Coturnix japonica: one gene and its partner. The protein of the gene in region 1 interacts with the protein of each later gene in a biochemical or structural test. Links are inferred from orthologs where the notes say so. Each region holds a gene or a part of one and is shown on either strand. Other genes may lie near its edges. The genes, in order: INSR and GRB10.

Region 1 (3,824 bases):
TACCTAAAATGTGAAAACACGCATTGAGCCGCAGCCTCGGGGCTATCGCAGCTCTGCTTGGGCAGAGTGAAGGCAGCACAAGGAGTGAGCTGTCTGAAAAGGTCATCTCCTCCCTTGAGACAGCGGCGAGGCCTTCCCACATTCGGGATGAGGCTGGATTTGGGGTTCAGGTCCAGCTCTCCTGTGGCATTGCAGCTCCCAGGCTGGCTGGTTGCTTTGTGCTGAAGGCAGCTGGACCACAGGGTCGCATTTCTCCATGCCAGCTTTAACCCTGCCTTGCTGTGCTGCTCTCCGTGCCACCCTCCACCTCAGACCACACGTTGCTGGTGTGTTTGGCTTTATGATTTTATGGTTCAACTTTAGTTTTCACATTGGCAGCATCCTGTTTACAAAAAAAAAACACACACACAACCAACTCCCAGACACAACACCTTGTTTGTGCTGGATGTGTGGACAGCAAAGTGAATGTTCTTCACCCCGTGTGCAGCTACTGCAGGAGTGGCAAATCCCATCAGGGCTGTGCAGTTTGTCCTTGGGCTGCTTGGACATTCCGTATGGTAATGCTTCCCTTGAGAATCAATGCTCCACCCCTCCTGCAACTGTTTGTTGTCCTGAGCTGCTGTTTGCAAAGGGAGCGTGCTGCCCCTGGGCGAGGCGGTGCCTACAGAATGGATGCAGACCCCATTACCGGGTCTCTGTGTTTATCTTGTCGTGAATTTTAAAGCATGTTGCCTTTAGATTTCACACTCAGTAAAACTCAGTTCAGCTTTTATAGGATTATTTTCATAGAGTTGTAGAAAAATGTAAGCTGGCAGGAACCTCAGGAGGTCATCTGTTCCAACCCCTGGCTTAGGGCAGGGATAGCATCGACGTAAGATAAGTTTTTAATGAGCAGTTCTCAATATCAAGGTTCTCATATTTTTCCCCAGAGGACAGAAAGTTCTGCAGTACTGAAAAATAGAAAACTTTCTCTCAGCGTTAACAAAACGATCATCATTTCTGTTTTGTTGTAGGTGAAAACGAATTGCTGAAGTTCTCTTCCATTAGAACATCCCATGACAAGATCCTGTTGAAGTGGGAGCCGTATTGGCCTCCTGATTTCCGTGACCTCCTGGGATTTATGCTCTTTTACAAAGAGGCGTAAGTGGCAGCTCAGGGAGAGGGGAACTTGAGCAACCAATGGTTGGGCTACAAAACAACAGCCCAGCCAATGCTGGGCTTCCACAAATGACATTTGGCATTGAAGAGTAGACATTAAGACTGCTGTGGTCGTAGCTAATTAGGAGTCAGACAATCAGAGACCACACTTAAGTTTCCAATGTTGCCCTTTATATAAGTATTAATTACATTCCCTGGCTTAAGTGAGTTGTATAAAGTCAAAATCCCTCATTTAAGAGCAACCCCAACATCAGTTGTTCCAGCTGCTCCAGGTGTACAGATCCCAACCATCTCCCCACTGTCTCCAGAGTTATTTATTCCCCTTTACATGGGAAACACTTTTAAAAGTCGGTTTTGCCAAACTGGTTTTCACACAGCTGAAAATAATTAGCTGAGATTGAGGTTGGGTTGTGTGTGGAGCTGTACCTGATGTGTGGTGCTGGTAGGAGACTGGGTTACAAAGCTCCCTAAGCTTTATTTCTAGAATACACAGGATATGCAGGATGAGATCATTAGAATTTATGTGAGGGTGAGGGATGCCTTCAGACACCATGTCTCCAAAAGCTCGGTGTCAGGATTCTGTTAACTTGAGGCTTATTTTTGTTTGTTTTTAAGTCCATACCAAAACGTGACGGAGTTTGATGGGCAGGATGCCTGTGGCTCCAACAGCTGGACGGTCGTGGATGTGGACCCACCGCCGCGGTCCAACGAGCCCAAAGCCCAGGCCCAGCCAGGTTGGCTGCTGCGGGGCCTGAAGCCATGGACACAGTATGCTGTGTTTGTTAAAACTCTGGTCACCTTCTCAGATGAACGAAGGACATACGGCGCAAAGAGTGAGATCATCTACGTCCAGACCAACGCTACAGGTCAGTTTCATTGGCTTAATGTTGCACTGTGAATGAAAAGCTGACTTCTGGTGGGTAGTCACAGTAGGGCCATGTCTGTGGAACTCTGCTGGTGTTGCTCTCCCTTTGTGGGAAGGTGTTCCTAAAGAAATGGAATGATGTGTGTTTCCCTGAGCGAGGAGGGAGCACCGTTGTGCTCCTGTTCCCTCAGGTTCACGTGGCCGTGGATGAGAGCCCATGTGTCCTGCCTTTGTTCGTGGGAAAGGGAACTCACTTGTGGAGCTGTCACAGAGCTGTGGAAGTGACCTCTGTCCCTTTTCCACCCACACAGTTCCGTCAGTCCCATTAGATCCAATTTCTGTTTCCAACTCTTCATCCCAAATCATCCTGAAGTGGAAGCCGCCCTCGGAGCCCAATGGCAACATCACACACTACCTGGTGTTCTGGCAGCAGCAGGCGGAAGACAGTGAGCTTTATGAACTTGATTACTGCTTAAAGGGTGAGTTCCAGTTCTCTCTCTGTGCCCTTCTTTCAGGCCTTCCAGATGGTGGAGCTCTCTCAGCATTTATGGGGATTTTTCATGCACTTTGGAGATGCTCCGGTGCTGTTGTTCAAGAAAGAGTTTGAGACACAGTTGTGTTATCCTATTCAGTTGCATTTACATTAGTCACTATTGCTAAGTCATGTGCAAAAGATCTTCAAAACCCTTTTGGCACAAAGTAATCAAATATGTATTTTTTGAATCTCCCTTCTGCACTTGTTCTTTTTAAACTGAGCTTCAAGTTTAATAACGGCTGTGGAAAAGCAGAGTAAAACATTGCAGTACTTCTGGGGATCAGTGGCCAAGTTAGTTTTTGAAGGCATTTTGTGCTGTGGGGTTTGGAATGCTTTTAGGATTCATAATTCCACTGAGAACTCCCAGAATCTGCCACCCCGTGTTCCCAAACTGAAGGGAACAGGGGTAGAACTCTGGCAACAGTGACATCTGAGCTTCATTTCAGAGTTAGCACAGATCTGAATCAGAGCCCTGTCATAAGAGAGGGAATGTGACCCTAGATATGAAAGTGTGGGAGGCAGAATGTGCCATGAATTTTGTGTACGCTCGTTTTGGATCTTGGTAGGATCAAACATCTACTTCTGGTATGCCAAGCATGAACGATAGTAAAATTGTTTTGTCCTTAGGATTAAAACTGCCCTCAAGGACGTGGTCTCCTCCTTTTGAATCTGAAGACCCTCAGAAGTATAACCAAAGCGAAAGTGAGGATGTCAGCGGAGAATGTTGTTCCTGTCCTAAAACTGACTCTCAGATCCAGAAGGAGCTGGAGGAGTCTGCTTTCCGCAAGACCTTTGAGAACTACCTTCACAATGAGGTTTTCGTCCCCAGGTACGAGCAGCTGCGTGGTGTGGGCTGGGAGCTGAGCTCTGCTCCTGTTGTTGTTGGGATGTGGAAGATCCCACCCTGTTTCCTGTCTCTCAATTCTCCTCAGCTTGAGATTAAGGGGAGAATCCTCCACAAATATCTAAAGCCCTGTAGCTGGCTCTAACTTGTGTGATGCCAGAAATAGCCTTTTTTTTTGCTCTTAAAATGTTGTGGTCTCACTTTTCATCCCGTTGAAAAGAAAGGTGAAGTTTTCCACGCCACAGCCTTGTCCTTCAGTGTGGTATTTGCGGTCTTCCTCACGCTTAGTGTGGGAAATACCTCCAATACCACGAGGAATGCAACTGCTGTGGGTGGTAAATGTCCTGTTTTGAGTGGCACACACGGTGTCACATTAAGTGGTGTTGAATGTCTTCACACTTCATATGCAACTCAAAAAGGGA
Region 2 (3,111 bases), on another chromosome or scaffold:
GTCCCCATCCTGATGATGTGGATGTTAATTAACTGAGAAGTCATTTTAAGGAAGTAATGATCTGTTAGTGGAATTGCAGCCACTTACCTTAAATGTAACTTACTAACACTGAAGTTCTGTAAACTAATCCAAGATAATGGAGGATGGGAACGAATTCTTGTATATTAATACAAAAAAGCTTCATGCATACGTAGGTCACTCTGAAAGTAATGCCTCCTACATGGGTTGCTCAAAAAGTAATGGTTTTTATTTATTTCTGTGGAAAAAAGTACCGATACACAATAAAAACTATTTGATAGAGCAAATTCTCAGCTACAAAGCACCACCATTAGCTAACCATTTTTGCTAGTGATGAACAAGAGCATGGATGCTGCACACGTAAAAATCTGTGTCAGTGGAAGCGACCCACAGTTTCACAGCTGCTGTGATAGTGTTGTTGCACACACCGTTCATCAGGTGTCAAGGCTGACACCTTCAGCCTCGTATTGGTTCAGTATCCTGACAATCTTGCACACGGTGTTCTTTCTGCCTCAGTATTTGAGTTTTTTGGGGCCTTCTTGGTATAAACTTTGCAATATTCCAGTGTTCCCACCATTGTTTCCAACGTATTGAAGCCTATATTCAGCTCCATACACAGTTCTGTGATTATATTCTGGAGATTTGTGCAGCTTATCTTTCACGTGACTGCTGCCACTGCTGAAACGCACCGGTCACTGCCTCACTGTGCTCACATCCACTGTTTTATCTCCATAAATGTTCTGCAAGTGTCAGTGAATGTCAGTGGGTACAGTTTCTTTTGCATGGAGGAATTCAGTGACTTCATCACTTGGCTTCATCCACACTTCCATGTCAGATGCCATTCTGTCAGGCTTCCCCTCTGCTGCCATCTGTCACATGGCAACAAAATGTAATGAAATATTGGTGGGAAGGTTCAACCTTTACTGCCATACCACCAACATCTGCCTCTGACATCATGGGCCAACTTCATAAAGTAAGAGGCATTACTTTTGAGGCAGCCCGCAAAAGGGGAAGAACATAAATTGGGGAAGAAATGATGACATGCATTTTTCACTTTCTCTTCTTCTGTTAGTCTTGCATAAGCCTGGTATAAAAACGAAGAGCAAATTGCCGGTTAAAGCAACTGAAGAAGAGTTAAACAATAGTACAAAATTACTTAGTACTTCTGATTATTTACATGGAAATGGATTGTTGTATTTACTGTGTGCTTAAAAATGTTCTCTTCTAGGCTATTTCTTCTCCGGGACAGCCAAAGCAATCCAAAGGCATTTGTACTTACACTTTGCCATCATCAAAAAATAAAGCATTTTCAAATCTTGCCGGTAAGTAACTTTTTTTTTTCTTTTCAAAACTGATAATAAAAATAGAATAAATTGTAAACTGACAGCATTGTCATCATCCAGAGAGGCCTCATTTTACCTACTAATGGCATGAACAGGCATGTTTCCATTAGGAAATACAATTCTTTAGAATTGTCAAAATTCTGAATAAAATTCTGTCTTAACATTACCTGGAAAACTAATTTAAACCACTGAGGTATAACAGTAATGCAACATAACTTGTACTTGACTGGCAGCAACAGCCGCACTTGTCTCCGTACCACTTCAGCAAACTTAGAAGAAGTTACAGGAGGTTTTAAAAAGTTTATCTGAAATTTTATCCCATATTGTTGAGCTCAAAAAAATCTTATACTGAGGCAGTGAGAACTACTTGATTTTATCTTGGCCAGAAAGAGCAGCAAAAGTTTAAGATCTTGTAGACCTGCTTATTGGCCCAAACCCTCTCATTTTGTCTTGCTAACTTTGGAAACAGCCATCAATTATTTTTGTGGTATTTTTGCTTTATGTAAGAGAAACCAGTGCTGTCTCTACAACTTAGAATTACTCTGCCTACCAGCTTTCACTTTTGTGCAGAAAAGATTTCCAGTTGGCTCAACAAAAATTCTCCTCTAGCACTGTGCCTGCTTTCAGGCAGAACTCTAGATACCGGGTTTTCTGTGCAGTGCCTGTCATTTTATGTCACATCACACACTTTTACTTGTCCTGTGTTTGCAACATTCACGTCTTCCCACGTGCTAACTTGAAAAGGACGTTTTATTTCCCCAGTGCGAGGATGATGGACAGATATTTTTCAGCCTGGATGATGGGAACACCAAATTCAGTGATCTAATCCAGCTTGTTGAATTCTATCAACTAAACAAAGGAGTCTTGCCCTGCAAACTCAAACACCACTGCATCCGAGTGGCCTTATGACCTCAAATTTGACTCTCACTGAAGACTGGATTTGCTAGAAGAGTAATTGTAAGAGAACGTTGATACTGGGGAATTGGCAGATTTGTAAGTTGGTAAAAATAAATAAAAATATTATGCACCTTGGGACTCTGAAAGGGATGGATTCAACAGGTGCCAACAGACCGACATTACTGGTTTGTCTAACACCTAAGAGTGATTGCTGCTGAGTGTCCCAGCATCCCAAAAAATGGGGGTGGGGTGGGGGAGGGTTCGTAAAACTATTAGTAAATTTGAAACAAAACTGGAAACTATCTTGGCTGGGCCACTTAACAGGAACAAGTGTGAAGATAAATCTTTGAAAAGAACTCTTGCCCTGGAATAATCTTGACAATTAAGACTAGTGTGTTTACTTTTTGTATTGATCACTTTTTTTGCACTCCTACTTTGTTTTGGATATTGTATGCAGCCTATATTAGGAGCTGATGTGGCTTTTAAAATTCATGCAGGAGTTGGGTATTAATCTGCACCCTAAAATGTATGGAATGCTTCAGCCTAAACGGATCTAGAAGAAAATCAAGAAGTGTGCGTGTCATGTGTCTGTATGTGTGTGTGTGCGTGTGTGCATCTCAAAACTTCTCTGGAGACCTGAGGTTCCGTGATCTGCAGAAGTCTTTGAAGAAGCAATGAGGATACAATTCTAACAGAACATACCACCATGTGTGTACTCTCAAAACTGTTGACTTGTAGCATTATGGCTGTAGTATGTTGTGGCATATTAGTGGCATCCAGTCATGCGAAGACTGTATTAGATTCTATGCACAAACTTTTATTATTGAAGTGGTTTGTTTTTTACAGCCTTTTG

Evidence for each region.
Region 2: the proteins of INSR (region 1) and GRB10 form a complex in vitro, tested with the Homo sapiens proteins (5 studies listed by BioGRID and IntAct). The link is inferred for Coturnix japonica from reciprocal best matches to the Homo sapiens genes INSR and GRB10.

The regions. Positions count from the first base shown.
Region 1 is NC_029543.1:3,176,878-3,180,701, reverse strand, and holds part of INSR (insulin receptor), read left to right. Parts: intron 1-1,013; coding exon 1,014-1,140; intron 1,141-1,773; coding exon 1,774-2,024; intron 2,025-2,334; coding exon 2,335-2,502; intron 2,503-3,185; coding exon 3,186-3,387; intron 3,388-3,824. UniProt on the Homo sapiens protein: Receptor tyrosine kinase which mediates the pleiotropic actions of insulin.
Region 2 is NC_029517.1:49,909,095-49,912,205, forward strand, and holds part of GRB10 (growth factor receptor-bound protein 10), read left to right. Parts: intron 1-1,246; coding exon 1,247-1,340; intron 1,341-2,123; coding exon 2,124-2,270; 3' UTR 2,271-3,111.